Linked DNA regions of Caenorhabditis elegans. The protein of the gene in region 1 interacts with the protein of each later gene in a biochemical or structural test. Each region holds a gene or a part of one and is shown on either strand. Other genes may lie near its edges.

Region 1 (15,113 bases):
TATTCTTCCTAAATTTCATGATGATACCTTGAAAATCTCAAAAAATTGACAAAACTTGAAAAAAGTCTCCTTTGGTTTTTGAACATTTTTGATGAAAATAAATCATACAGATTTTGTTATTACATTTTTAGGCTAAAGAAGACGGCGTTCTACCTTCAATACCAGTTCTCCCTGTCTCCTATACAACAGGATATGAAATTCTGAAACGATTATCCGGTCGGCCGGCTCCATCGGACTGGCAAGGTTGTTCCCTCTCCAAAAAATAATGTCATATTTTGATAGACTTCAGGATTTGTCGGTGGAAACCTCACTTACAAGCTTGGTCCAGGCTTTGTGAATGGAGAGAAATTGTCCATCAATGTGCACAGTGAGCTGAGGACAAAGTGAGTTAGTTTGGAAATTTGATTTCTGCATGTTGAAGAGACACAAAATGAAAGCGTTGAGCGTATGAAAAATGACGTCACCACTTTCGGAAAAGAAGAGAAGAGCTAAACGAAACTAGTAGAGACAAACATTTTGTATTTCTACAAAAGTACCAGGAATTAAAAAATTAAAGGTCCAATTGCAAAAATAGTTTTAAAATATAGAAATTCACTTGATATACCTGTGCATAGTCTTTTTTTTTTGGCTGGAACGCTAGAAAAACTGCTTAAACGCTGGCTTTGGGCGCCTTTCTCTGATGTTTAATATAACCAAATTTCTAGTTTTCAGATGAAGTGATTTTCTATATTTTGACACTATTTGTCAAATAAAATCGTTTGTAGCACTGCCGAAAATAATTGGCACACATCAACACTAATCAAAAGTAAATAGCACCTTTTCAGACGAATTAGAAATGTTATTGGATATATTCGTGGGTCTGAAGAGCCCGATAGCTATATTATGCTTGGAAACCATTTCGACGCATGGGTCTATGGATCAATTGATCCTAATTCTGGAACAGCTGTGTTGGCGGAGGTTGCGAGAGCCATGATGCAAACTATTAACGAAACCAGTTGGAAACCAGGTCTGAAATTTTTATGATGCACCGCTTTGAGACCCCTTTGTTTGAGAGGGTTTCAGGCATATTTGAACTTTTTCATGAATAAACAATATTGGTGTCTGAGACAGCATACCGAATAATTTAAGTGCCCGGGCGGTCAGTTTTGAACTTTTTGCTCTGTGCGCCAACTCTTGAGATATCAGAACTAATTCCCAAAACGTATTTTGATCTACTCTTGTATTCGAAATGATGTTTTTTTTTTCAAAAAGCTCGGTAGATAAAACATCTCAGTTTTTGATTTGCCCTTATTTTGCTAGAAATGACGATACGATGTTATTCTAATTTTTTAGCTCGCACTATCGTATTCAACGCATGGGATGCCGAAGAGTTTGGACTTATTGGATCAACAGAATTCGTCGAAGAATTTGTAAATATTTTGCAGAAAAGAGCTGTGGTCTATATTAACATGGATTGTATTCAAGGAAACATAAGTCTGTAAGGTTTATATTATTTAAACAATTACTGACGGTGTACAGTGCCTAAAAAATGTGCACCATTGACTGCTCAGATATGACTGAACAAATTCGTCTTTAAAATAACTCAAACAAGTTGAAATGATCTGAAAACACCAATATTTTATTTCAACAAGTTTTGAACATAGGAGTTATTTTTAAATATCTAACTGGCATTTTATACATTTTAATAACAGAACTTGTTTTGAAAAATGTGTTTTTTTTTTCAATACTCCATCCCCTAACCGGCTCTCATACAATTTCCTTTTTACTCGCTCGAGTGAAATCATACTTTTCAAGTGAATTGATGTGAATTTTAGGCACGTCGACACAGTTCCGATTCTCGAGCACGCCGTCATTGAAGCATCAAAACAAGTGGAAAATCCATCAAAACGTGAGAGATCTCGCGGAAGAAAAACGCTCTATGACACGTGGATGAAAGTGTTTCCTGATAAGAAAGCGGGTGTTCCAAAAATAAGAGTTCCCGGCGGCGGATCAGATCACGCGCCATTTTTGAATTTTGCTGGTGTTCCGGTGATCAACTTCACTTTCAAAAACTACACAACATGGGACACGTATCCACTGTACCATACAATGTACGAGACGCCGTTTTCCAACATTCATCTATTGGATACAGACAACTTATCAGTGCACAAAGCAATTGGGCAGTATTGGGCTGAGTTGGCGAAGTGAATTTTTTTCGAGCTAAATTTTTTTAATTCAGTTTTTGGCAATTTTTATTGAAAAATGGCCCCCTTTACTGTTTTTTATTGACATGTGGGGCTATTTTTGAAACTTCACTATCTGACTAATTTGATGAGTCAAGCTATAACTTAGATATAAACTCATATATTGGCACTACTATTTTAGAATACGTGATAGGTTATTTGTGAGCTTCTCGTTAAGCTTTAATGCCTTAAAATGTGAGAAATTAGTTAAAATAAAGATTTCGATTCTAATTAAAATAGGAAAACCGAGATAAAATTGAGCTAATAACCACCCGGTTTCTATGTCACTTGTTTGTTTTTTTTTTGAAAAAAGTCAAAAAATGAGATTTTCTAGGAAAATTTTAAAAAATCCCAGGGACGCGGTCAACCTTTTAAGATTTAGACTGTGCGTGATCAGTTTTGATAATAAATTGAAGAAAACATGGGAACTGGAGGTTTTTTTTTTTTAATATCTTGAATCCGCATATAAAAATAATTTCCAATGCAAAATGTTCAGTTTCCGAATATTGATAAAAATTAAGGGTTTAATAGAACTGAACTTTTTTCAGGACGTTTGCGGATGATGTAATTCTCCCAATGAATACCACACATTTTGCGTCAGTCATGCTGAAAACCTATCTCCCACAACTGAAAACAACAATCTCCGGAATAAATGTTTCGAGAAGCGATTTCGAAGATATACGCACACAGTATGCACTTCTCTCAAAAAGTGCTCAAGATTTACTTACAATGTCAAAAAAATTCCAAGAAACCATCCATTTTACACAACACAGCTTCTCTCAGAATCCATACGACCCGAAACACGTGAATGCGGTCAATGAGAGATTAAAGAGGTTTGCCACTTTATCATATTTAAAAAAAAACATTATGTTTTCAGCACGGAAAGATGCTTCATCAACCCCCGTGGCGTTTCAATGCACAATCCCTCAGCTAGACATGTCCTGTTTTCAGTCAGCGATTCTGATTCATACTCGAGTTCTTTAATGGCAGGAGTACAGAATGCGGTTAGTGATATAATATAATTTATGCTAAAGAAAACTTCATTCAGATCAACAGTTACGACTTGAATCCAACCAAAAAAGGCTTGAGGGAAATAATCAACCAAATCTCCATTGTCCAGTACTCTGTTATTTGCGTTGTAAACACTCTACGTGATGTTATTTGATGGGTTTTACTGTAATAATGAACAATTCACATTATAAAACTGAATCTCTAAAAATGAAGTACCAAATAGTTTTAACATGTAACGCTTGAAGATTGGGCTCAGAGCATTCCAGATAGCTGGAACAATTCAACATAATAGGATCAAACAAATTATGAAATATCGGAAATATATTACAAAAAATTTGAGGAAGTGTTTTCGTGCTTCACCACACTTTCCACACAATTGATTATAATGTTATTTTGAGATAACTTCTCAGTTTGGTAAATAGTAAAAGTTAGGGCTTTTGTTTGAGTCCCGCGAGAACACCTCATTACGGTACAACGCCTAAAAATTGAAATAATGATTCTATCAATGGGACCTGTAAGGAATCGTATCACAGTCAATTTACAGGGGCGCAGCAGAATGTGGGCACATTGAAAATAAAATTATGCACAATGTGGACACCGCGACTCACACACTGAGCGCATTGTGATCGGATATGGAAAAGTCGCAATTAGATAAACACTTGGGTAATAGACAACAAATATTTTCAACAGATTATCACTTCATTCGTCTTAAAATGGAATGTGGCGGAACGTCTTAACATATAAAAGCTTTTAGAACAAAATTGTGACAATAGCTTACAATATCCTACTTTCTTTTGATGAGACATTGAATTGGTGAGTAGTAACAAGGCTTGAAACGTTTGTAGATTGGGTCCTTAATCTCGTCGCCATATTGTTTCGAAGCGCCATCCATATAAAACAAGGTGTTCGGCGAGCGTTCTCGCTGTTGCATGTTTGCTCTGGAAAGTATGTACTATAAATTAAACAAGTTTTCAACAGTTCAAAATTCAATTAAAGTTTAAAAAAAGAGACAACATAAAAGATTCATCTCTTTTATAACACTCACTATTCATGCCTTAAACCCTGTTCAACCTTAAGAACGTATGTAGTATCCAGCCGTTTCATCTACGAACAAAATTTATTCGCTTCATGAAAAACCCGCAACAGATCTTGCCTAAATTGTGTTGTAGAATAGAAGTGAAAAGAAACTACATTGCGGGGGATAGGAAATGCAATTGGGTTCTACTCATGACTTCATTCCCTTTTTTAAAGTGAGGATTCTCAAAAATTCGTGAAAAAAGGACTTCATGTAACTGGAAATTATATGTTTAATGTTGTACCAAATTATATGTACCAGTTTTTACGTTTCAACATGTTTTGTATTTGGAAGGGAGTACCAACAGTTTTCCAGTTTGTAAAAGGCAATATGAAAATTGGCAGTTGTCAAAAAAACATTTGTTGAGTAAGATAACGTTTTTATGTTCTGCAATAATGAACAACTTGCATTATAAAACCAAATCTCTGCAAAATATCAAAATAAATTAGCAAACGTATAAGCTACTCTCGGAAAAAATGTTGTCCACTTCGGAAACATAGTTTTTGACTGCAGAACAATTTTCATAATTTTTTTTTTCTTTCCAGAAAGCCACGTGAAAACCCTTCAGATTGTGCATTTTAACAATTGAATCGCATCTCAAGCTGGGCTTTGCGGCTCTTTTCTCGGCACATCTGAATATTCCTTTTTTTCAGTGTTTTAGCAAGAAAGAGTTTGCGAATGATTATACTAGTTGAACAGCTAGAGCAATAAGCTTTTCATTTAAAAAAAATGAAACTTGAAAAAAGTGTACACAACATTCCATACCATTTGCAATGCGCCGAGAGCCGAATGATTTGTCTCTCGCCTCTCGGCTCATTGGCTTGAAGCGTATAAATGAAATATTGGGATGCGCCGAAAAAAAGCCGCACAGCCCAAATCTCAAGGTTACTACTACAAGCACTTTTCCTTACACTAATGTTCCTCCTGGCAAGGTGTTGTGCTCTCAAAATATGGTAGATAAGAGTTAATTATGTTTTCTAGCAATTCGTTAATGAAGCAGCATAAAAAACCAGGAAAAACGAGCATGCAAAAATAATTAATTTCATTAATTGCTGTACAATATCAACAATGGCTGATGCTTGCGAAACATGCAATTCTTTTTTATTAGGAATTTATTGGCTACATTTTGCATTTCTTGTTTTGCATTTTCGCATTAGAGTGGGAACAATTGTTAATAGAAAAATGCTTTCTTGCATGTGTTTTTGTTAAGAAATTTAAAGTACATAGATCAGAATTTTGTAGCAGTTGAAAAATATAGGTAATGTTTTCTTAACTTTTGAAAAACAAAATACCTTGAGGTGGTGAATTTAATTGTTTTTGCTATGTTCCCAGTCTGTAGTAAGAAAAAACAAGACAAAACTCTGTTCAGTTGTCATGAAAGTTGGCATGGCATGCTACTTTTTCTTTTGTACCACTTATTGATTTTTCATGTAGAAATAGTAAGAATAAATTAAAATATCTGATTAGAAAGCAAATGTACAAGCATAAAATAGAAAAATGACTCATTTAAACTAGGCCAAGCCTGACATAATAAAATTTACCTAATACGCTTGTACAGTTGGTTTTTATTAAAAATGTGCCCTTTTATTGACCATTTTTTTCAAATATTCGGCAAGAATACACTGAAAAACGACGAATAAAAACAATGACAGGCTCAAATTTAATTCGACGCAAAAATTCAACCGTTTTCAAAACATGTCCTATACAATTTTGCGACAAGGGTAGAAATTAGTGTTTGCCAGCCCTATTTCAACAACTGAAACAAAAAAAGAAAAATGTAAACTTTGTTCACTTGGTGCTTAATAATTGATCAACCTTAGAAGCATACGTTTTTTATAAGTGGGTCCCACCAATATTTACAACATAATTTGCAACAGAACATTCTGCACCGTAACTGTGAACTTATATTAGAGCTGCAGTAATTTTAAATTGTGTTTTGAACAGTTAAGGTGCATTTTATAAATAATGTTTATAGATTCATCTTCTTTTTTTTGTTGAAAAAATCGTAACCTGAATGCGGCAGACGGAGTCAGGGATCCCAGTGCAAGCATTGGCTGCAAAATGGAGCAAACCAACATAACAGCAATAATCAGCGTTTTTTGAGCCATCATTTTAGATTGGAATATAGACACACAAGTGAAACGAGGAGAGCTTGAAAAAGCTATGTGAATGAGCAAGAAATCCTGACGCCTTGGGGCGGAGTCTCTGGTATTTTGATGTGAGCGGAGAAAGGCATAGTGACATCATTATTTTTAAAGTATCTGGAAAAATTCACGGATATTATATTGAAAAAAACGAGCGGCTTGTGACTTCCAATTGCGCTCCACTTTCGAACTATCTTTGAACTGGCAACCGACAACCAAGTTGCCGGTTTCCAAAATTTTTAGAGTTCCGCAACTTCGGCAGTAATTCTCAAAATCTTCTGTTCTCTAAATATTGGGTGCTTTTCGATGCCCTTTGTAGACAAATCAATGAGAAAATTGTCAATTTCTGAAGGCAGTAATTCTCAAAATCTTCTGTTCTCTAAATATTGGGTGCTTTTCGATGCCCTATGTAGACCATCCAATGGGAAAATTGTCAATTTCTGAAGGCAGTAATTCTCAAAATCTCCTGTTCTCTAAATATTGGGTGCTTTTCGATGCCCTTTGTAGACAAATCAATGAGAAAATTGTCAATTTCTGAAGGCAGTAATTCTCAAAATCTTCTGTTCTCTAAATATTGGGTGCTTTTCGATGCCCTATGTAGACCATCCAATGGGAAAATTGTCAATTTCTGAAGGCAGTAATTCTCAAAATCTTCTGTTCTCTAAATATTGGGTGCTTTTCGATGCCCTTTGTAGACAAATCAATGAGAAAATTGTCAATTTCTGAAGGCAGTAATTCTCAAAATCTTCTGTTCTTTAAATATTGGGTGCTTTTCGATGCCCTATGTAGACCATCCAATGGGAAAATTGTCAATTTCTGAAAGCAGTAATTCTCAAAATCTCCTGTTCTCTAAATATTGGGTGCTTTTCGATGCCCTTTGTAGACAAATCAATGAGAAAATTGTCAATTTCTGAAGGCAGTAATTCTCAAAATCTTCTGTTCTCTAAATATTGGGTGCTTTTCGATGCCCTATGTAGACAAATCAATGGGATTTTTTTCCTTTTTTTTGGGATGAGAAAATTCGCAAAAAATTTTCCCATCTAGGGCAAGAAAATATGTTATCTCTAGATTATTGTGTAGAAACCACATTGACTAAAGTTTGTAGCAAGAAACCGTGTGTTTTGTCACATGAAACCACTTTTTTTCTGACAACACTTTTATCTTCCTGTTATCAACAGCTGGGTTACAATCGTGATAGTATTTTAACAGTTTTTTTTAGTAATGTTTTTATAAATTGTTGTTCGTTGCGTTTTTCTTTTGTCATAATAAACACTGTTTGGACCAATTAACTAGTAAAAATAAACAAAATAAAATTTTTATATGTTATCTAGTAAAAAATACGATTTCGACTGAAAAAAGTGATATATTGGGTTTATATGGCTTAGAGACATCAGAAAAAGACGAAACTGTTTTTAAATAAAAGTTCACGTTTGATCACCTATATTCTCTAATTTTCAGAATTCTCGGTGAGCAATCAATAGAATTATGAATTCACAGTATGAATCAGGGCTGTGCGGTAACCGGCAACCAAGCTGAAATTTTCAGGGTTCGGCAACTTCGGCAATTGCCGGTTGCCGAAAATCTCGGATGCTGCACAGCCCTGGTCCGGATCCTTAATACATATGCTCAAGTTCAAATTTAAGAATTAATAATGCAAATTGAAAATACGCTCTAATCAAGTTAGAAACACACTGTCTTGTGCTTGTTACGTTACACTGCATAGCGCTTTTCTGTTGCTTGTCCACATATATGAGTACCAAGGTACAATGATTGCCTGCTACCCAACTCTTGTTATCAGTACGACGCGTCGTTTTTTATGAACAATTATCACAAAAAACAAGTGGACCAACTGTTGTGTTTTTATATAAAATATGATGTTTCAGTTGAAAATTATTTCAACAACAAATTCGAAAGACACATAACTTTTCTTCTTGTTATTCAAACTTTAACAAATTTTCAAACAAAATTCTATTTCAGTTATGGTTTACTGGAAGACAGTATCTGACATTTGCCTTGTTACTCTCACTTTTGCTGTTTTAGCAAACTACTTGTGAGTTTATTTACTTTCACATTAATAAAATCAATATGTTTTTAAAAAATTTCCAGTGACGATGCTTTAGCGCATTTATTCCAAGTACTTGTTCCATTGTTTCAGGATTCAACGAACTGAGTATTTCGAGTCATATATTGATTATAAAATGAGTAAATGTTTGACGAATGATGCAAAAATAGTAAGTTACTAACTCGATTTTAGTTTTGCGTGGCGTGTACGAACAACTTTTCCAAATTTAAGTTACTTGAGCGTTGTTTTCATGGATGTAGTCAAAACCCCGATCAAGTGATATATCCCGACATCTCGCGGGTTCAGCACCCCATTTTGTTTGGTTATTTTTTGGTACAACTGCGCGCCACGCGCACTGCGAGCCAAACATTGTGGTGTGCGGAATCGATGAAATGTCGAAATATATCACTTAGTTGGATCCCGATTTCGGTGTCATCAAATTCCTTCAAAGCAGACGCAAAAATCTGAAAGTTTCTTGATTAACTCGGGTGAAAAAACTCAGAATCATTCAAAAAATTGAACTTTTTGAAAAGCTTTCAAAATGTTCACCTATGCATTCATACTAAAAACATGAAAATTGGCCTCGATTTTACTGATAAAATAAACTGAAAAACATTAGATCGAAATTCGAGAAGCCGAGCGTTGTCTGATTCTTTATTGCACATTAAAGTATTTAAACTGTCAAATTTTTCAAAAAAATTTTAATAGATTTTGTTCAAGCTTCCAGTAAAAATTCTTATTGAAAAAAATATATATATATACATTAAAGTCAACAGCGTAAGCGGGCTCGTCTGAAAACTTAATGTAGGAGTGCATGCTTAGTGTGATCATTTTTAATAAATTTCTAAAATATGTGAATTTATAAAATGGAAATTTAAAAACATCTTGAAAATATTCGCTAAAGCGACGAGTTTACGTAAAAAACGTTCTAGAACATAAAAAAGCGAAAATCCCAATTTTAAACAAACTCATTTTTATGGTTTGATAAGTATTAAAACATGTACTACAATTCTCAATAATTTAATATCATTTTTTAATTGAGTAAAACTGTTAATTTCTCAGGAACAACTGGAAAAATGGGATGCTAACAATAAATATGAAGCTGCACCTCTGAGAAGTCAAGCATCATGGAATTTATATTGGTTCATGTACCGTGAACGAACATATCAAAAATTTCAGCACATTTTCCATTGTGATTATGTGCCTCCACATTTGAGATATAAAAAAATAGTGCTGACAGAAGGTGGAAAATATTTGACCTTTTCTTAAAATTTCTTTATTGTAAATTTGTAATGTCATTTTTTAAATAATTTTCAAACTTATGGGTACTTTTTTATTGAAGTGCTGAATTTCAAAATATTGTTTTTGAAATAATCGAATAAATAACTTCATCGCTTAAATCGAACGTTTTACAAAAAACAAGGTTTTAGGAACTTGATTTTTTATAAAAACCATTAATTCTATGTATGGACCAAGTATGATTATTTCTTGGTTTTAAAAGCCCATGCTTTATGAATGTTTGCTAATTCATCCTTTTTACTTATGTTACAAAAAATTGTGAACCTTTTGTTTCTGAGTTCTGAACTTACAAATTGACTGTTATTCATATTTGTTTTGTGTCTTTCAATAATTATTGGTCAATTTTTAAAAAGTTTATACTTCAATGGCAAATTTCAGCTTTCAAACAAAATTCAATTAAACAAAATTTTAAATCACTTCATTGATTTATCTCAAAGCCAATTTTTTTTTGGATTTTAGATCTTAATCGTTATAATAAGGTTTATTAAAAAATGGGCATAAAAATCGAAAATTGAAAAAAACCTTAAGCAGCAAAGTTCCACTCTCAACCTCGATAAATATCGAACTGAAAATGTTTCAGTGCATTTCACTTTTTTGAGGACCTGTAGATTTGTTTCAAAATTTTTTTGCAAACTTTTAATGTTTTTGTAACGTTTAGGAGTAGGTAAACATTTTAGGAAATTTTTGGAAATTTTTATTTTTGTTTTGAAGAAAATCTGAAATTTTTTGGACCGAGTGGAGTGAATTTTTCCAAAATCTCCCAGAATGTTAACATACTTCTAAACGTTCAAAAAAAACAATGAAAGTTTGCAAAAAAAAACGTTTTTTTGGAGTAATTGCATAGGCCTCCAAAGTAGTTAAAAAATTCACTGAAACAATTTCAGATCAAGTAGAAATATCTTCATAGAGAACTTTAAATTGCCACTTGTCTCGTTTTAAAGTCTGGCGGTAGAATAAAAACCCTTAATTTGTTAGAGAATGACTATTTGAACATGTGAACTCTTAGCAACACATTTCTGCCGTTTCTACACATCAACACATCAATCAAATTCTTGTACCACATCTACTTCATCTTTTTAATCTACTTCTCTCTTCATTCAATCAATGATATATGGTTGTTTCTTTTGATGATTTGCTATGTGATTTTCAACCGATTCACTATTTTTTTTAACGTTGAAGTTTAAGATAAGTATCCATAGAATGTGTAACCTATATAAATCTAATTTTTCAGTTGTATTTTTAACACTTTATTTTCAAAGTAAATCTAATGGCATACAAAAAATAAAAAACAATTGTTTCAAAATAAGTTTTTTTTAGTAAGTACGGTTAACCTGACATGACTAATCGTATAAAAATGAATTAATAAAATACATATCTAAACGGTGTAAACTTATTAGTACATTAGAGTACAAAATGAATAGAAGCTACAGGAATAATTTTTGATCCTAGATGTATAAGACTTATAAGAGGAAAATACGGTTTACGGCTGTAAAAATTGCAACTTTTTCTAAAATAACAAACTATCTTAAATCCAAAAGTTATAAAGTCTCACTAATAAGTTTCAGCTTCGGTGACAATTTTGAATTGATCAGAGCCATTTATTTTGCTTTCCCAACTTTAAAGGTGGACTACACCCTGTCGGGAAATTGCTTTAAAACACGCCTATGGAATCACAATGACCGAATATCATGATAAAAAAAAATTTTTTTAAATTTTCTAGATTTTATATGATTTTTTGAAAATTGAAAAAATCTCAGTTTTCCCCTAATTCCTGTTTGAATTTCCGCCAATTGAACTCGTTCGTTGGAGCGCGCTTGCATTATTTTCAATAATTTGTTTTATTTATTTTCATTACTTCACTGATTTTCTTCGTTTTTGGGGGTTTTTAATCGAAAAATGAAAGAAATAAACAAGAAAAATGCAAAATGTTTATTAATTTTCAGGCTCGTCGTCGTCGGATCGCGTAATTTCAGAGTTTTATGCATTTTCAGTTTTTTTTTAAATTTCAGCAATTTCCCCATTGGGCGCACTCCACCTTTAATCCTAAACCTGATATAGAATACAGGGTAAAATTTTTAAAATTGTGAGCAGTTTTGGGGTATACTACACAAATACCCATTACTATTTTGAACAAATGTTTCTCTGCGTATGTTCTATTATATTAATGGTCATTGTGTTTTTTTTCCTTTATTTTTGGGATGAAAAAATTCGCAAAAAATTTTCCCGTGGTGGAGAGTTGAACATCATTATTTTTTTCCTTTTTTTTGGGATGAAAAAATTCGCAAAAAATTTTCCCGTGGTGGAGAGTTGAAAAAGGTATAGCGTATAGCGTATAGCGTATAGCGTATAGTGTATAGCGCATAGCGTATAGCGTATAGCGTATAGCGTATAGCTTATAGCTTATAGCGTATAGCGTATAGCGTATAGAGTATAGCGTATAGCGTATAGCGGAAAAATTGAATCGGCGGAAAAATCTACCGGCGGAAAAATCTACCGGCGGGAAAAATATACCAACGGAAATAATCGAACCGACGGAAAGAATCTACCTGCGAAAAAACTCGAACCGGCGGAAAAATCTATTTGCGGAAAAAATTGAATCGGCGGAAAGAATCTACTTGCGGAAAAACTCGATCCGGCGGAAAAATCTACCGGCGGGAAAAATATACCAACGGAAATAATCGAACCGACGGAAAGAATCTACCTGCGGAAAAACTCGAACCGGCGGAAAAATCTACTTGCGGAAAAACTCGAACCGGCGGAAAAGAGTTGTGAGAGAGTGACGGAGAAAAAATAGAAACAACTGAAACCCCTGGTTTTAAAATCGAGAAAGACTAGCGGGCCTATGGGCCCGCCAGCCCTTCGGGAATGGGGATAGGGTTAATTCGCTCTAAGTTATTAGCAAGGTAGCTGGCGCAGGTTCTCGGCTTCGCCTCGAACCTGTTAACGGGTTATTCGAGATCTCTTTGAAATTATTTCAGGAGTGGGGTATATGTTTACAAAACTTGACTATTCAGGTTTGAGGCTTCGCCTTTAAACTTTGATTCATTGCTCCAGGACCGGCACTGTACGAATAACTTAGGCTGAGATTTTGTTCAAGAATAATTTGAATGTATTCAATAAAATAAGCGTGTTTTCAATCATCACTGTGAACTACAAAAAACGGTGAAGGAAAAGGAAAACTCATGAATACGGCCTGCTCTGCTTGGAATAGGATTAAAGCCAGCCCACAGTTTTCAAGAGTGTTCGGGCCTGCGGCACTCAAACCTGGTTATTAGGCTTGAGTGAATAACATATCTGCTTAGAATAGGATCAAAGCCAGCCCATAGTTTCCAAGAGTGTTCGGGCCTGCGGCCCTCAAACCTGGTTATTAGGTTCGAGTGAATAACATATCTACTTTTTGGAAAATCGTGAACGCCTGTGGGCCCCCCAGCCCTTCGGGAATGGGGATTGTTTTAGAAAACTGAAAATAATAAAAGCTTTCTAAATAAAACTTATCTAAGAGTAATCGCATATCAGGCCTCCGGCCTGGCTTGGTATAATGATTTTTTTTTTCTCTTCTGTTCTGTAAAAAAGCACTTTTTTAATTACCGGAAATAATGATTCTGAGTTCTTCACACGGGGCCGCATATTCGAAAAGTTTGCTCCTGGGAAGTAGAAGAGCACGCGGTCAGCTCTCCCCCCACTTCATCAGAAGGCCTTTTGGGCCTCCGGGGAAGAATTCCGGGGCGGTTCATTCGGTCGGGGTATTCCGGATTAGCTCCGCCCACAAAATCGTGCCTTGCAAAACGATGTTTTCCATTTCGAAACCGTGTGATGGTTGCGGAAAACACAGTTTTGTAAGGCACAGTTTTGTGGCCGGAGCCATTCCGGAATACCCGACCGAATGAATCCACTGAAATCTTTAGCTCTTGGCTTTTTTGTAAATCCTGAATTTTCAGAAATTTTTATTCAGGATTTTTTTAAAAGAAAAATTCGGGTTTGGCAAAAAAAAAATTGATTCCAATTTTTTGGAATCTTTGATTTTTGAGAACTAAATTTCGAATTTTTGAATCAAAAATGTTAAAGACAAACAAAATCTTACGTCTTACGGTCGTCCTTTTGCTGCTCCTTGCTGTTGCTTGGTGATTATGCAGGTGGTGGCGATAGCTTTGAATAGGAGTTGCTTCTTCATGTGATGCTCTACACCGTAAGAACTGCACATCATCACCCAAGTATTCCATAGAGCAAGAACCGCCCGATCGTATCGCAGTATGGGCCCAACATCGGTTCTCATTGTTCGTTAGGAACAGAAGTACTAGCATGATGTTGGTCATTAGCCTTTATTCGCTACCTCTGAGTACGGTGTATGATGTGTTTAAGCCTCAATTCCGATCTCCCGTTTCAGACAGTTGTCCTAGCGGTGTTATATTTAAACTTCTGTTTTTAGAAGTTTGATACTAAATGAGAAAATGATTGAGAAACTTCTGATTTCAGAAGTTTCGTACTAACTTTCCAACAAAGAGGGGGAGGGGGAAAGAGAGAGGGATGTAGCAGTGTCCATTGATTGTCCGAAGCACGAGAGACTGTTCCAGTAACAGTTCCAGAGAATCCATCCATCGTTCGATCCGCCGATCCATGTTCAAACACAAAGGGGAGCATGCAAAACATAACAGGTGCAGGGATTTGGGAAGGGATTGGGATGAGAAAAAAAGAAGGAAAGTTGGAAAGCGTACTTTTTCTAGAATAATTATTCTAGAAGTCGAGTGAAAATTGAGTAAAAGTCGAGAAGAGTCGAAGAATTTCAACTCTTTTCTTTGGATTTTTTTTGTTGGAAAAAGGTTCTTTTTAATTTATAAAAATTTAGATCGGAAATCCGCTTCAAACACGATCAACTCAGGACAAAAAAGGAGTGCTAGTAGCAGCGAAAACAGCTAACAACAACAACAAGAGCATGGTTTCCTTAACTGTTCCAGAACACGAGCCCCTAAATCGGACTGCGGACCTGGTTTATCAAGCAAGGAGCACATCTACAGGGTGGGATGTACTCACAAGAAGGGGGTATAAGCAAAAAGGAGTGAATGACAGAAAAACAATTGGGAGTTTGGATGAACGGAGACCCGGCGTTTCCCCTGAGCAAAGAAAGAGAGAGCGTGATAGAGGCGGAGACACAGACAGGAGGGAGACCATTACAGATCGTCTCCTATAGTGGGCTGCCGGCCGGGGGCGTTGTGGACCTGTGGGAAGAAGGGAAGAAGGGGGAGACGACCGCACGGGCTGTAAATGGGTACCTGGCCGTAATCACAAAAACGAGCACAGTAAAG
Region 2 (17,682 bases), on another chromosome or scaffold:
ACCGCTACACCATGTTAGTAAAATATATAAAGAACTCATAAGAACCCTGTGGGTATAATAGTTTTAATAAGTTTCTGACTTCTGAGGTTCAAGATACACAGCAATATTTCTGTACGGGTAATTGAGCGCCACCCTGTAGGATTTTTCAAATAGATTCTGGGCCTTTTTTCAGTCCAGTAGTCAATTCAAAAACTAGGATTACATTAAAATAATGTGAAGCAGTTTTTGATTTTTTCGTGTTAAAACTTTTCTAGAAGAAATTTGTGAAACTCTTTTTCCAGACTAGAAAAACGTGAAGCAACTGTAAAAGTGTAAATGTGAAAATTTTAAGTACTTCAAATGAAAATTCTACGGAACCGGGACGAGATAGCAATAAAAAATCCATTTGTAAGAAATCAATTTGTTTATTAAATTTTTATTCAAGCATTTTATTATTAATCCTTTAATAATCCTTTAATAAAAAATCAAATTGATAATAAACAAGTGAGACAGTGATTTTTTTTCTTTTTTTTCAAATATTTTTATTTTTTATTTTTCAGGTTTGAGATAATTTTTGAAAACATTCTCGGTAGGCGTATGCGCACATTCCGCGCACTTTCCTCGCACATTCAGCGCACATTGCCCTTGGTGTGGTCATTTTACCCACCGCTAGCCTTTTGAGCACATTCCGCGCACTTTCCGCGCCGATTCTGCGCACATTGGTTTTTGTGTGTTTTTTCATTCAGAAATCATGCATTCTGCGCACATTCCGCGCACTTTCCGAGCACATTCAGCGCACATTGACTTAGATAATCTACAACTATTGCTCAATTTCTGCTTTCTATGAATATTTTAACGTTGTTTAATTTTTATGTCTGTCCATATTTACTAGTACTTCTGATATCTGGAAATAATAGTCAAGAGAAAAGACAGAAATAGTCGTAAAATGCCAACAATGTCACTGTAGAGTTCCAATATGTTTTCCCAAATATCATATTTGAGCAACAGGTTGTAACGTCGTCTATCGTGATTGATTTACAACTACATAATGTCCCACAATTTAATAATGTCCCACATTTTAAGATAAAAAACTATGGTAACTGTCAAATTTTTGTTTAAAAAATTGAAAATGTGGCTCCTCTTCCTAAACAGTTTCATTCAAAATAACTTCAAATAAAGAAAAACTAAATACAATCAGCTTATCTAACAATTTTCGTAAGTCTAACTTACCATAGTATATGTATCTTTTTGACCTGAATGAATAATCAATTGTTATGTAGCTGTTGTAAAACTAAATTCACTAAAAGGTCCTGGGAAGAAATCTAGAATAAATTGCCCACTTAATCAGAGATATCTAAAATTATCAAAAAATATAAAACATGTTCTGAAATGATTACTCACTAGTAGGGCTGTACAAATCGGCGTCCGGTCGTCCGATTTTGACACCACCGGACGCACTGCGTCCTGTTTTGGGGTAGGTTTCCACGGCGGCCGACAATTTCCGAGTTTCACCACTCACTATTCTTAATCAGCAATTTTATAGTGAGTGGCGAAACTCGGAAATTGTCGGCCGTCGTGGATAGCTACCCCCAACCGGACGCATGTGCGTCCGGTTCGGACGACCGGACGTCCGGTTGTACAGCCCTACTCACTAGTAAAATAATTGCATTAATTTTTTCACTACAGCAAAAAATGCAAACGCTTAAAAACGGTGAGGTGATTTTTCATTGAAAAACGGAAGATTCTAAAATTAGAGCGAGACCACTTTTCTCTTCTATTATTTAAGTTAAACTCAAGTTTTTGACAACTTTTTTCATTATGAAAAGTTGAATTCACATTCTTCCATAAATATGTCATTGAAAAAAAAATTCAAAAGCTAATGACAAATCCTTTATTAGTGAATTAATGTGGCAAAAATGCTTCAACGTTAGTTCTATGTGGTTTCTCCATTGAATTTCACATGTGCTTCTATTTATGGTGCGTTATCTGCTATTAACATCGCACGCGTTATGGCCGGCTCAACAGGTAAGACTTCAGACTTTCAGGGAAAACATCACAGGTTCAATTCGCAGCAAGGACACTGGCAATCAAAATACACTGCAAGCGAAAGGCAGTGAAACACAACCACTCTGCATCATGCGCACATTCCGCGCACATTGCGTTTTGGTGTTCCTCATTTTCTAGCTGCCCTGCATTATGCGCACATTCCGCGCACATTCTGAGCAGATTCCGCGCACTTTCCGATCGTATTAAAAACAAATGTATTAAACCGCTCGGAAAGTGCGCGGAATGTGCGCATACGCCTACCGAATTGATCGAATGTATTCATTTGATGTATTTTTATGTTTACTTTTCCATATTTTTTATTCAGTTTTATGTTTGTCTTTTACTCCCGTCGTTCTCTTTTTCACCCCTTTTTCTGTTTACACAGTCTCTTTTTCACCTCCTTCTCTATTTTTCAGTATCACTCAAACCACTCACCTTTTCATTTTTAAAACCTTTTTTGAGTTGGAAATTTAATCTTTCCATTACTTTCTCACGTCTTAATAACGGTTTTTCTAATTCAAAATTTTTTAAAAAGTCAAATTACAAAAATTACAGTTTCAAAAATGATTAAAAACCAAACTGAAAATTTGGGAATTGCTGAAATCGTAATTTCTTCTGGAAATATCAAATTTTCTTTTCCAGACTCGTTTTTATTTGACTATGCTTGGCAATTTAAAATAGTGCAAAAAAAGGTGTTTTTTTTAATTGTTTCAAAAAATTTGATTAAAAAAAATTGTACTGTTTCAAAACAAATTTAAATATCAAATTAAAATGTTGCCAATTGTTTCAACGTACATAACTTCCTTTGAATTTTTGTTTGAATTATATTGTTTTTTTTTAATTTAAAGACGCACGCTTTTTCATGATATCAAGATCGTCATTTAATTTTTTAAAAAGGTCTTCGAATTTTTTCAGGAACGATGCAATCTGAAAAAGAGGCTCCATATTTTGGAATGTATGGAAATAATTACTTGAGTCCAAGATATATTGTAAGTTACTTATTACTGGGATGGCTTAGTTGTTTTTGGGTCCAAAACCCAACAAAAGAAGTGTAATGTTGCCCTTGTCATTTTTGTGGATAAATTTTCTTTGATAATCTCAGAAATTTGCAAAATATGAATTTTTTAGCAAGACAATAATTTTAAAATAATCAGTTTCCAGGTTACCTCTCCAACTCCAACTTGCTTGGTAGAAAGCGGACATCCAGAATATTCAAATTCTACCTTCAACTCTCCGGGGTCTTCCAATGAAAGTCAACGACCAAATTATTATCAAATTCGTGAGTTATTTTCAAAAAATTCTAAAAACTTTTAAAAACAGTTAATAACATTTTCAGTTTCATAGAATTTTCTTTAAAATTTTTCTGAATATTTTTTGATCGAAATAAGATTGCATTAGCAAAATTAAAGTGAAATCTGAACGTTTTCTGAAACAGTGAACAAATATAGTTTAACACTCTCGGAACCATTATTTCCGATATAATATTGCACAATTATGAGTTGAATTTTTTTTTGCAATTTTGAAAGGCAGTATTCTAAATTAATTGCAATAATACAACAAAATTTGTGGCATTACATTTATATAATAAACCTATGTAGGAGTGCAAGTTTTTATTCGGGCAACGTAATGATTTGGTAGCGCATTTCTTGCCTCCCCCTTGAATCTTATGTATGATCTCATTTCCTCACTTATTTGTACATGATGTCATATTTATTTATTATTATTTTTTTTTCTCATCAATTTTTCTTGGAAATCATTTGTATCATCTGACCTCGGACATGTTCCAATCTGGTCACCTTATCATTCACATTTCTACCTCATCTCATTTTTATTCCTCATTTTGCTCTTAATTTTCAAGCCAAGAAATAGTGAATAAATAAATAAAAAAATAAATGATGAGCTCTATTACAACTTTGTATTGGAATTTAAAAAAATTCATGGAGAACACGATTGATTGCGTATTAACCACTATAACTGTTCTTAAAAATACAATGAAACCGTAAAAAAATTTCCAAGTGTTAAAAATATCGAATTCAGAACCACCATCGCCCGGAGAGATGGTCATTGTTCGCACGACTACAGTAACCCGCAACACAACATCAATTACACCAGTTTCTTCAACTTTTTGATAAGTCTTTGTTAGAAATATTAAAAAATAAATTATTTCAGTTTTCGCTTTATTTCCGCGCGAAAATTTCATAGTGGAAAATTTTTATTTTGATTGTTTCAGATATGTTATTTTTTTTAAAACGGAAAAACTCAACAGAGATTAATATAAATTGTTCTCAAAAATTGAACATTTACACAGTTTTGTAAAAATCAATATTTGTTATCTTTGTCTACAAACGAACTTACCTGTCTCAAGCCTACCTGCCTATTGCTTATTTTTAGAAAGTTGGCGAGGCAGGCGTAGGTTGTTTGGAGAACATCTAGTTTTGTGTGAATATACTGTTTATTCTAACGATATGAAATTCTGTCAAAAATTGTTTTTTTTTCTGTTTCAAAATCGATTTAACTATAATGAAATTTCAAAAAGTAAGCTAGGAAAACTGAAAACGCATATATTTTTGACACTGCAAATACACGTGAATTTTTTTGGATAGAAACAAATAAAATTTTAATGTTTTTTCTCACAATCAGATTTGGAAAGTAAAAAAATTAATTTAAAAAAAGGGAAATTCGTTTCCATTAGTTGTTATTCTTTGAACAGAATATTTTTACATATTCCAGTCTAGCAACTAACATCTTTTGAAACAGTATTATTATTTTTTTTATTTTATCTAGTTACGAAAATAATTAGACATTCAAACCGACAGCTACAGAAATTCAGAAAAAAATTAAGTACAAGTAATATAATGATTGAATTGAGTTGTTATCTAATTTTAAATTAATTGAAAACTCTCCACTGCTCCCGGTATCTTCAATTTTGTTTTGAAATATTTTTGAAACAGTCTTATTTTTCATATTTAAAATTGACTGTTTTTAGAAGTTGGTAAATGTTCAAGAGCTCACAACCTACAATCAAATTGTTGAATTAAACAAAATTTTTAGCAGATTTCTAATGGATGTCTGAAATACATTATTTTAAAATTGTCTTTAAACAGTAGAAATTTGAGAAAAGTTTATTATCAAAAATATAGTTTCCAGTAGAATGTCTACAAGTAATCGTCCTTATCCTCGTCTGTCGATGATGACGTGTTTTCAATCTGAATATTGAGAGTTGTTCTGGATTTTTCCATAGTCTTCAGAAAAAAAATCTGAACTTTTTTATTCTAAAACTCACGTGAATATTTTTATCCGCCACCAGTATTATTCGTTTGCGGTGTAAAATGCTTGCAATTATGTTTTGTTGGAAATTTGAGAGCCTGGAATATTTCAAAATTCAAAAATTGTATTCATAGCACAAGTGGGTAACTCACCTGTTGAAAATACCGGCGTCACTGTCGCCGAGTTTCGAGAAAACTGTAGCTGAAGCGTCAGAAGGACGGGATTGCATGGAAAGTCTGAGATATAGAAATGTGTCATCATAAATAGAACTCGGTGTAGTATTATTTATTCACACTCTAATAAAATCAATTGTATCAATTGCGTTCTCTCAATAAAGCTTGCAAAAATTTAACGGAATTTGTGTTTTCTGTGAAACAGAAATATCATTATTCAAAAAAAATTATTAACGTTGGAAAAATAATACTTGAAAATACTCAGAAACGGTAAAAAAAATTAGATTCAAAAAATTTGTTTCTTGAGCTAAATCACAACAAACTTTAAACAGGAGTGAAACTTGTAAAAATGAAAAAAAAATTGAGAGCTTTTCAAATACTAGGTCGAGAAAACCAAATTTCCACAAAAAAAGTCAATTATTTTAAGTTAGGTGAAACTTCCGACAAACAGGATCTAATTTTTTTAAATGTTTCAATACAATTTTTTTTCTGTTTCAGGTAGACTTCATATAGTTTTACAAATTTTTTTAAATTAGCTCATGATGAATCATATGTACCTCGCCTGATTTAATCGTTGCTGTTGCTCATGACCTAACGAGTGTCGTTTTCTGTGCATTGCCATGACGTGTTGGGAACGAAGTTCCCGATTGATGTATGCATAGAGAACTGGATTAGCTGCCGAGTTGAAACATACCTGGAATGTTTTTCTGATTTTTTGCAGTATTTTATTTATTTGTATGGCCTAAAATGGCCCACATATAAGAAACCTTCAAAATGTTTCCATTTACAGAAACTTTTATTTTTATTTTAATGTAGCAGGTGGAACAGGTGTCCACAACAGGAGCAAAAGCATAACTTAAAGTAGAAATTCAGGAAACAAGGCAATCAAAAAGCAAAAAAAAAACTAGAAATAAAAAGTATCACATTGTTTTTTTTTGTGTTTTTTCTTGTTAAAACATTTCAACTTTTTGAATGTACTATTTTGATTCAACTTGTTTCTAGAATTTTCATTCGAAATATTTTCATATTTTAATTCCCAATAATTTTTGCCTTACCAACAAATGCGCCACAAAAAACATTGCCGAAAGTGCTGGAGTCATCCATGAAACGGCGATCAAATTGAATTGTGACATGATATTCAGTGTCCATTGAGGTGTCCAACACAGGAAGTAGAAAAGAATCACAGCCACTATTCGTTTTGTGACCTAGAAATTTGAATTTTGAGTGAGAAGGAAGTGCTCGAATTTTTCATGAAAATGCCAAAAATTTAATTTGAAAAATTACTGTTTCAAATATTTGTTGAAAAACTCAACTGTGTACTTCATTACTCGTTGAACACTATATGTTTTGAAAATTGACTTGAAACTTTAATATTATTTTGTTTAAAATTGATGTCTCACTAAATATGACTCGAAATTTTTCAACGAACGATGTTCTGATATCTCACTAGTGAGTGTTGATTATCTGACCCCAATCTGGCAAAAATCCAAAATTGGATATTTAGGAAACTGTTGCTATGAATTTTTGTTTAATAAAAGCAACACTGTTTTAGAGTTTTAATTTATAACAGTACACAATTTTGAATTTCAATGGGCGTACAGTTTGAACTTCCTTACCTTCTTGACCCTATTCGAGCTTCCATCCGGTTTGCTGATTCCTCGCGCACCTCGGATATTTCGAGATGATTTTTGAAGAGCATAAATTACCTGAAAGGTCGATATTTTAGAAAAAAAATTTCGCATGGTTCAGGATGTCAATAAATTTTGATCACAAAAGAATCTGCGATCAGATCAAAAATTTTTAAAGCAATTTTTTTAAACTTTGACCTTATCGCTAAAATTGTTTGAAACACTAAAAACTAATGTTTTCCCTATCAAATAAAAAAAATTGACTGTTTCAAAAATAAGTTATGTAGATAGAACATTTGTGATGAACAGTTCTTCTTCTCTTTTTTAATAATAAAGTTTACTGTTTCAACAGGTCAATTTAATTTTATCTGTTTAATTTCTAACATTGGTTTATGGACTTAACTTCAGAACATTTATAAAAATTATCACCTGTACGTAGAATATTATAATTAAAAATGCGGGGGCGGCAAATCCGATGACAAATGTGTAGAGAGTAAACGTGGCATCCGCATCGAACATGCATTTTGACATTGTTGTGCCAGCAAGGTCTGAATAATGATAAAACTGAATTTCAAACGATGCTCCGATATTCCGCAATGTCACTAGATTATCCAATCGTAAATATTTCTATTGAAAATTGTTTCAGAGTCTCTATTTAAAAATCAACAACTTGTTGTTTCAGTCCCGTGACTTTATGATGTTTTTGAAAAATTCCAATAAAAACCACCTACCCGACGCTGCCAGTTCTTCCGTACCTTCCAACAACGGAACCATTCTCATTTTATCGATTTTAAATACGGCGGCCTCGTAGAGTACTGGTAAAAGGAGTACTGTGGCAAATATGGTACAAGCCAGGAGGACTTTCAATGCGGTTGCATTGCTACGCATTCTGAAAAAAATTAATATGTAATTTGTATTAAGCCTTTGCAGACTTTCTTCTGAGTCTTCGCAATTTTCAAAAATTTTGAAAACAGCCAAAAAAGTTTGCCGTTTCAAAAGAAAAATTTACTTTAATAATTGTTTTGTTGGTTTCAAACGAAAATATAAGATTTTTTGAAGTTCATTCTAATTCGTTTGAAAAAATATTGGACATTTTAATAACTTTCTGAAACAGCTAAAAATCTTGCGTGTATCTTTTTTTAAACTGTAGGCTTTCCAATATTTATTTAAAATGGTTCGCTAATTCGAATTTATAGAAAAAACATTTTGAAAACTCAAAATTTGAATGTCGTGCCGAAATGTTAAATATCACAGATTAAATTTCCCACGAGCATTTATTGCCAAAAATTTCGAATTCAAAATTTCTGCCAAATTTTAAAGTTCTATTTTCGAATAGAACTTGAATAGAACTCGAATAGAATTTGTATTTGTTTCGCTATTTTCAATTTTGAAAAAATACTGTTTCAGAGAATTTACATACTTGAATTCTCACAAAGTAATATATTCGTTATCGGGGTTTCACAAATCTACCCAAGCTCACAAAGCTAGCAGGTCTAGGTAGCCTTGTAGGAATCCAGTCAGTCATATTTTTACTACTTGGAAAACCCAACAAATCGCCCACAAAACTAACTTCATAGATTTAACCGGACTGCAAACTGCCATATACCGGTCCCAACTGAGCACTGTCATCAAAAAAGAGCTCAACAATTTGTTGACACTTTCCCCAAACCAGTACACTTTGCACATTGCCACTCCAAATAGCCATTGTCCTGAAATAAACTTTTTTTTTTGGTTTTCGATTTGTTAAAATCGGCGAAAATTCAATTTTGAAATTCAAAAGATTTGGGATAGGACTCACCTTTCAAAAGATCTACGACCAGAAACGGAAGATGCAGAATTACCAGGAGATCAACAATCGAGAGTCCTGTAAGTTTTTTTGAATTGTTTAGTTTCTGAAACAGAAGAAAAAACTTCAAACTGATGACTGAAAATAGTTCCGCTTTCAAAAAGACATAAATCAAAAACGAAATATTTGCCATTAAGTGGGCGGAGTCTGGATTGACCACTCGCGTATAAATTTTAGTTTAAACATATTGGATTTCAAATATAATTGGCAATGCTTAACTGAAACAATTTTGAATAGATACAACAGGTTTAAAAAATATTTGAAACTGTAACAATTTTTTTGTTTATCAATAGACAACTTAACCGTTAAATGCGAAGAATCTGCACATAAGAGTCTTGATCAAAAACTTATTAGCTACCATTGGCGTGGCCCGGCGTTTATTCTCAACAAGTAGTTCTTTAAAAAATCGAGATAATTTCATTCAAAAGTCCAAAGCGGAAAACTCCAAAAAAATTTTTTGGGAAACTATCATATTGAAACAGAATTTTTTTCAATTTTTTTCAAATTTGTTTTTTTTTGCAAATATTTATTTAATTTTCATTAAAATCTCAACAAAAAACTCACCAAGAACATAAATAAACACATGATTCGTACTGCTCATCATCCGTTTTCCAGCCTGCACGTTCCGCTTCATAGATGTCAAAATGTTGATGATCATGAGAATTACGGTACTGTAAATTTGGGATATAAGGAGTTTCGTTTAGTTTTCAATGCTAAATTTTACCAAGAATCAAAGTAGACTTTTCTCAAATTCAAATGTTCAAAATTAATTTTGTTAGTCTAAAAGAGACAATATTTACCAAATTTGAAGTCGACCAAAAACTGTTTTATCAATAAAATTTCTGAAAACTTGTCTTCAAAAAATTTGGAAAAAAAATTCATACGAAAAATTTTCTGTTTCAAAACAATTTTAAATTTTAACGATGGCTAGTTGTGTTGTGTAGTTTCGAACTTGTCGTTTATTATTTTTGCATAATTTCTAGTGAAATTGCAGACAAAAAACTTGATTTAAAAATTCTCTACTACAAATAGAAAAAATTCTAGCATGAAATAAATATTATGAGTTTGAAATTTAATGCGATTCATAATGTGAATAAGAAAATTTCGCAAATTTTCAATTAATTATTTTTAGTTAACAACTTACCCATTTCCGACTGTTCCAATTATAAAAAGAACCAAATAGGAAATTGCCAAAACCAATTTCAACGTGGTTCTTGACGTGTCATCTTCGTTTGAAACCGCTGGTGGAGTTGTTGTAGTCGAGATAATTGTGGAAATATTCATCTGGAAATGAGAAAATAAAATATTAATGTAAAACTTGAGTTTAAAAATCATTAGATAGGCGTGAAATGAACCGAAAAGTTAAAAAAAAAAGAGCACAAGGTAGACACGCTCGCCTACACGCCTTCTTATAATGTTGAGTGATCTTTTTCAGACTTTGAGAGCCGGTTTTCTAATAATTAATGAAAACCTTTCAACATTTTTTAAAAAATAATTTTGAAACAGTTATTTTTTGGAAAAAAATTAAAAATTAAAGAAAATCCTCTAAAAAATTTTTCAATTTGAAAAGCATTTATCAGAACAAAAAAGAGAATAATGACGGAATGACGTAATTGAATTTCAGCAATTTTCAGACAAAAACATTCATTTTTGCCAAAGATGGGTAGGGGAAATAGGAAGAATAGGCATTGAGTTCTGGAAGTGACACAGAATTTTAATCTGAAAATTTACAAATACGCCTATTTAATTCGAGAAAAAAGTGTGGAAAATCACCAAAATCAACAAGAAAATCATGTTTCAACTTATTTTGGAAATGTCTAAAAGACGTAGGCCGCCAAGAAATCTTGCAGGCACTACCGGTTTAATTTGTTTTTTTTTGTAAATGAAATCTTGCGAAAGTGAAGCATTAAAATTGTGTTAAGATGGCAAAGTTTTGAAAAAATGTCAAGAAAAAAGAAGTTTGGATTTTAAAAAAAGTTTCCAAAATATTAAGATCATTTTTGCCAAAGAAAATCTTAGGGCTGCTCTCAAAAGAGAACAAAGATGAAGGGTGAAGAGATGATAGAACATTTCGTTTTTTTTTTCGATAAAAAATGAATGAAAAAAGAGCCCTCAGGGTAGGGAAAGGAGCTACAAAAATTGAAAAAAAAATTGAGAGCATAAAAATACAAATAAGAAAAAACCAAAACAAAAAATTCTTTAACTATTATTTTGTAGAAAAGCCTGAAATTATTCCATTTTTATAGAAAAGTGCGTACAAACAAATCATACTATTTCTGATTCTGGTCACAAAATCTATCAAGTTAAAAAACCGTCGATTTTTTTTAATTCTGAAATTTTAGTCTGACAATTTATTACCAAATCTAGTACATGAAAAATAACCTATTAAAGTACCTAAAAGAGTGCTAAGTACTTACTTTTGAAAAATGTTGTTCACTTGTAATTTTTTCACCACCAACTAAAAATTAGTCCTTGAAAATTGCTCAAAATTAAAGAAAACCCCCGGAAAACGTAAGTTTTAAAATCAAGAAAGTTCATTTTTGGAACTTTAATTGGCATTCAATTTTTAGCAGAGTCAAATCTCATAACAATATTTTGAAAAACTAAAAAAACCAACATAGTACTAAAAAGGTGTATAACCGAGATCCACCAGACCAAAAAAAGCATATAAAAATGAAAAGGGAATTGTTGTGGTCTTTGGAAAAGGTCAATCATCAGAATTTACGAAAGAAAAAAAGAAAAAGAATAGTAATAAATATATAATCATTGGTACGGGCCCAAAGTAATTATTGGAATTAATGATAGCGTGGCCGAGGTGTAAAGAATTGGTGGCCGAAGTGTTTAGATTCATTTTCTCATTTAATTTATGTAATTTTTTTCGGCTCACGGCACGTGCCGAGAGCCGGCATTTTGGGGGTGTTTGGCTCTCGGCCGAGGGCCGAAAAAATTGAATTCGGCAAAGCGATTTGATTTTCAACTGAACAATTTGGCGAATTACCTGTGAAGATACTTAGGTCCGGTTGAAATAGTATGAAAATGTCAGATTCCAAATTTTGGAACATAAATTTTCTGTTTCAAAAGTATAACTTAATGAATGAAGGAGTCTAATTATTCGGTTGGATTGCTTCTTTCAACGTTTTCTAACATATTTTTTACCAACGTGGCTATGATTTTTCTTTTCCAATATTTCCAAAAACTGATAAATTTCCCTAAAACAAAGTAATACACAACTAATAGAACATCCAGACACACCTCCCACCCTCACAAATCTAATCCTAATAAAAACTCGTCACTTTGAGCTAGAGCCATCACAAAAGTGTCGTCTCTAAAAATGGCGGGAGGAGAGGCATAACTCGATTTTTCGCCACTACCCCGCCGGTTTAATGAAGTGTGCCAAAAATGGCAACTCTCTCTTCAATTTCCGCTTTTTTCATTCAACGAAAAAGTTTTGGATGAGAGCTTATGGAGAAGGGGGCATTTTAAAAACTTTGTCGAACGACACTCCGGATTTTCAAGCTCCGCCCAAAATTTGCAATGTAGGCACAATATGCCTACCCGCCTACCTATAGGCATGTAATCTAGGAAGGAACTCTACAAAAAAAGACGTCGCGTTATTTTTTTTCAGTGAAAGGAACCTTTCAATTGCTTCGGATTATTAATGTTATGGTGAATCCCACAAACCCAAGAGTTATTGACGAAACAGTAAAAAAATTAGGAACAAAAAATTCTTGAATTTTTTAAATCAGCTTAGAGAACAAAAGTTAGAAGAATAAAGAAAAGCTCTTGGTCAAAAATCCAGCCAAAATCTCATCTTTTTCGCGTGTCTACTCCTGAGAATCTCCTCCTCAAAAGTCCATCATGACTCAAAAGAGCTCTGAGAGCATATAACCAGCACACACCCGTAAATACAAAATCGAGTTAGGTCTTCTCATCTTTAAACACAATTTTCTATAGGGGAATCATCGTCCTGACTTTTTTGAAACGAGAAACTTTTTTTTAACGAAAAATAAATTCGTCATATGGAAGAAATATGTGACCTAAAATCAGGGAAGCTTGTTGCAAAAGTGGGGAAAACTGGAAGAAAAACGTATCCGTTTCTTATGCATTAATTATTAGATTACGTGACAAAAAACGAAGAATTTCACTTTTTCATGAGAATTTTGAAATACATAGGGAAAATATTTAACCTTTAAACCTTTTTCTGATTCTGAAACAACTGTTCCTAAAAACGAAAAAGTGATAATAAAAATCAACATTTATTTATGAATATAGAGAATTTTTGAAACAGTAAATTTTTTTGAAACATTTTTTAGTGGAAGTTTTTAATTTTTTTAGTATCTTTTCAAGAAATGCTCGATTGCAATTGCAAAATAAAAATAGAAAACTTTGAAAATAAAAAGTGGATCATATTACATGAACATCAAACGTTCTGTATATATTGGATTTTTGAAACAGTTTTAAAAAAATTTATGTGCGGTACATAATTTTGAATTTTCGCAGCAATTTTTGATAATTTTTCGAAGTATAAAAAACATTTTGTGCCTAAATACTCCCAGGAAATAAAAACAACTACTCCAAAAAACGAAAAAAAAGGTAATTTTTCAAATTTTTGTTTAAACACACAAGCTGAAATTGAAACGTATTGAAATTGACAAAACCTAAACAAAATTTCCCAGAAGTTTTCACGTTTTCCGTGCACAAATATCCCATAAATACATACATCAGAAACTGCCAAAAAAAAGAAAGAAAGGAAACTGGATATCTGTGAAAAATTATGCAGCTCTTTGTGGTGTGGGAGGAAGAAAAGGGGGCGGGGTCTGCTATTTTTGGGTACTTACATTATGTAGGTTACATTATGAAGAAAAAAATTTATATTTCAAGTTTGAAAGAATTTTGATGTGGAACTGTTGTGTTAAAAAAAGTTTGAAAAAATAATATTTAAAAAATCTGTTTCAGAATTTTTATAGAAACGACAATTTTATTTTATTTCATTCTTCTAGAGTCCAACAATTGTAGAAAAAACGGGAATTTTGTAAAACTCAAATGAAGCAAAAACAGGTGAAAAATTATTTTTGTGTTCAGGTGGAAATTATTGATATTGAAGTTTGGAAAATGCAAAAAAAAACAGGTTCAAATATGTTTTGCAGCAGACTGTTTCAAGGAGTTTAAAAGAAATATAGGCAAACTCGCAATTCATAGAGTCTAAATAATCATTGATTGACTATACAGTTTTCTGTGAATGTAGTTCTATTCGCAAAGTGAACTACATGAAAACCCCAAGTTTAACCTAATACTGGATGAACTTGGAAAAATTTATTTTGGTTGAGATATGGAAGCAGGTGACAAGTGTGATCCTTTTCCATTCTCTTTGAAATTCTACACGGCATTTTTCCACAAATTAAAACATCCATAGAATTGTTTTGAATCTTTTTGGTTTTATTTAATGGTATGCAAACGTTCTTGAAGTATTTTGAAAACATAAATTTTACCGAAGAAGATTGATAATGTGTGAACATAAAAATTGTAATCTTTTTAGAAAAACTGCATAAAATAGCTGAAGTTTGTGACTTTGAAATGGCAGAACTGGTCCTAAAAATAAAATTACTGATTCAAAAAAAATCTAGGATTGAGAAAATTAATGATGCAAAGTGAGGAAAATTACTTATTTTCAAAATGAACTATGAATAGTAGAGTAAAACATCAATGAAATTTGAAAACTACATGAAACGGGGATATTTTTTAAGAAATAAAAAGTAATTTTTTGCAACAGTATAGGCGAAACAGATGCAAAACTTACTTTTCTAGATATATAAAATTGTTCTGAACAATGGAATAGATGGTTCAAATAGAGAGAAACGACGCATGAACAACTTTTCAAAAAATTACTTTTTATATATATATAAATAATTTTGACGGGAATTCATTGGAAACGAACGCAGTTTTTTATCTTCAAACATTAAATTTCTAATTATTTGTTTAATTGGTATGATGTGTTCACTTTTAGAAAAAAACCCGGCACTCCTAAATACATTACTGTCTCAAAGAAAAATTAATTGCTTCATAACATTTTAGTTGTAATGTAGATAATATTTTAGTTGTAATGTAGCTGAAAAGTTCTGCTTTCAATTCCCACTTTGCAAGCATTATGCACATTCCTCGTTGGTTTATAAAAACTGCATGAAGCGGGGGAACATATTGAGAAAAATTTTTTCCAACAGTAGGACCGAACAGGGGGCTCAGATAGCAATTTTTAGCTACATTGAAGTGTAAAAATAGGCTGAAACAATTTTATAAATATAAAACTGAAAAACATTTACTGTTCCAAAAAAGTTGTAAATTTTTTGAAATTTTTTTGGATGTTCGTACACTTTAAGAAGTTTTTGGTCTTTGCTTTCATATACATGTTTGCATCAGTATTTGAGTATTTTAAATAGCACTGCGAAATCCCATTTTTTGTAAAAATTGAAGAAAAAAATTATGGTTCAAAACATAACATACTTTGGAAGAATACCAGTATGTTGAGAAGATGTTTGTTGAATTTTTAGTAGCGCGAGTAATTTTTTAATTTGTATGGAGTTAAAAATGTTTGCTTTGAAGTGATAAAATCAACTGGGAAAAGGATTGCTAGACTGGAACCGGAACCGGACACAAAAGGCAGTTACTTATATATAGTATCATTTACTATATATAAAGCGCTTATTCCGTTTGTCCATAGTTTGTAGTCTATGTAGTCTTTGTAGTCTGCGAAGTTTTAGCTTCTGGAGGGATAGTGAGTTGGGGTTAGTGTAGGGAAATAGTCGGGGTACTGTAGTGGTACAATGGTGGTACGGTAGGAGTACTGTATGATTACGGTAGTTTCAGAAAAATTGGTTTTCTGCTCCAGAAGTCGGGGGCCGAGCCGGAGGTGCGGTCCACGGCTGGTGATATTAAATTGAATTCTGCACTTTGAAAAAGTAATGGTGAAGTCTATTCAAATAGAGTATCTGCAGCATGATTTCTGCTTAAATTGAAATTCTGAAACGTTTAAAACATTCCAATGTTTGAAAAACAAGATTCGTCCCTACACGGGAAATGAATCAAAAAAGGAAAACTCCATCCGAACAAAAAAATTATTTTAATTCCATGAACTTTCGTAATGAACTTTTCCAAAATGACCAGAAAAAATTTTCAAAGTTTTTCTCAAGTTTTTTTTTCAGGATTTTTTTACGATGATTTCTGTTTCAGATTTTGCATTAAAAAAGTTTCTAAACATTTTTGAATGATACGTACTCCAGATTTGTTTTTAAAAATCCAAAGCCAAGGCAAACTCATCAATGACTTAAAAAAAAAATTTTCTAGCGTTACCTAAAAATTGAAAAAAGCAACATTTCATCTCCACGTGCTTTTTCAACGAAAAAAATGAAATTTTAGATCGAATCTAAATTGAGTTGATGTTTCAAACTTGAGCTTAATACTAGCTCCTTCCCCTGTCTCGTTTTATCTCAAAACATCTTTTTCGCGGTCAGTTAGGTTGATTCAGTTAAGTCTCAAAAAAGAATGTGACGTAAACATTTTTCAAGAAAAAAGGAGGAGAAGAAGAAGTAAAAATAGAAATTAAGGCTATGAATTTTTTGAAACATAAATAAGGATTTAAATAAATTACTGTTTCACCTTTTTGATATATAAATTGCCAAAAATTTAAAATTATTCGGCTCAACTTTTTAACTTTTTTGAAATTTTAATTTAATTTAAATTTTATTCAAAAAAAAGTTTCCTGTTCGAGGCATTAAAAACCTGACAACAATCAAATAAAACTAAAAACAAGGAAGTGTTGAGCAGCAAAACATTTATGTTTGCTCATTTGTTCCAGAGGTTCTTGAGAACTTTTATATATTTATTTCTTCTTCTGTTTTTTTTTTTTCAGTTAAAAACACAAAGTCTCAAGGACATGTGATTCTTGAATATTTTCGTGGGAAACTGATTTTTTGGAACAATGGTACTCTTGGAAAACGGGACAAAAGATTACAGAAAAGTTGATACAAAGAAATTTCAGATTCGGAAAAAAAATTACTGTTCCAAAAAGTATATAAATTTTTGAGGAAGGTTTCAGCAGTACTAGAATGCTCGTAGATCTTGGTCAATATCTTAAAGGGTTTTCATATCAAAAACGTACGATTGTTTTATTTTTCACATTTTCAATGTTTCTGAAGAAATTTTTACAGTTTCACGATTTTTTAATATTTATTATAGGTATTATAGGTATTATATTTATTATATTTATTATTTAATATAGGTAAAAAATTACTGTAGCAATCTAATGGGGTTATTCAAGTAGTGTCGGAAAATTAAAAAGTGTAGAAAAATTACGTCACAACTGTATTAAAATACATAAAAACATGTATTTTAATACATTTGTGACGTCACAAATGTATTTAAATACATTTTGCTAGATTACTTGAATACCCCCATTAATGACAGAAAAAACTTCAAAACTTAAAAAGCGCACGTAAAATATCAAAGAGTTCGAAGAAATGAATGTGCCGCCTCTTTGAAGATATACGAATGAAATTGGAAATTTCTCATCTCAATCTTTTCACTATTCTTGTCCGCCTTTTCCTGCTAGCATGCACACATACTGCAAAAACAAGGGTAATAGGTTGAAAATGAAATATTTCTGAATCTGAAAAGGGCATGGAAATTTACAAGAGGTTTTTTTCGATTTTCAAGAACAAAAATCAGAAAAAAGTGTTTTGTTTTTTTCTGA

Evidence for each region.
Region 2: the proteins of nlp-64 (region 1) and npr-32 interact in a test that uses a peptide from one of them, tested with the Caenorhabditis elegans proteins (one large-scale study listed by BioGRID).

Annotation. Positions count from the first base shown.
Region 1 is NC_003284.9:304,845-319,957, forward strand, and holds nlp-64 (Neuropeptide-Like Protein), read right to left. Parts: upstream 6,468-15,113; 5' UTR 6,420-6,467; coding exon 6,319-6,419; intron 4,172-6,318; coding exon 4,018-4,171; 3' UTR 3,918-4,017; downstream 1-3,917. Other genes in the region: gcp-2.1 (Glutamate carboxypeptidase 2 homolog), read left to right, coding at 132-243, 290-383, 825-1,006, 1,333-1,477, 1,815-2,183, 2,771-3,055, 3,100-3,226, 3,271-3,387; M02E1.4 (uncharacterized protein), read left to right, coding at 8,432-8,502, 8,608-8,683, 9,577-9,783.
Region 2 is NC_003282.8:17,220,834-17,238,515, forward strand, and holds npr-32 (G-protein coupled receptors family 1 profile domain-containing protein), read right to left. Parts: upstream 10,226-17,682; 5' UTR 10,224-10,225; coding exon 10,084-10,223; intron 9,611-10,083; coding exon 9,504-9,610; intron 9,374-9,503; exon of another isoform or gene 9,353-9,373; intron 9,163-9,352; exon of another isoform or gene 9,142-9,162; intron 8,958-9,141; coding exon 8,892-8,957; intron 8,803-8,891; coding exon 8,664-8,802; intron 8,559-8,663; exon of another isoform or gene 8,538-8,558; intron 8,163-8,537; exon of another isoform or gene 8,142-8,162; intron 7,983-8,141; coding exon 7,825-7,982; intron 7,797-7,824; exon of another isoform or gene 7,776-7,796; intron 7,642-7,775; coding exon 7,523-7,641; intron 7,504-7,522; exon of another isoform or gene 7,480-7,503; intron 7,272-7,479; exon of another isoform or gene 7,251-7,271; intron 7,172-7,250; coding exon 7,082-7,171; intron 7,077-7,081; exon of another isoform or gene 7,056-7,076; intron 6,819-7,055; exon of another isoform or gene 6,794-6,818; intron 6,671-6,793; coding exon 6,521-6,670; intron 6,160-6,520; coding exon 6,023-6,159; exon of another isoform or gene 6,002-6,022; intron 5,628-6,001; exon of another isoform or gene 5,603-5,627; and 9 more. Other genes in the region: Y116A8B.4 (Ovule protein), read left to right, coding at 2,946-3,014, 3,187-3,304, 4,063-4,154.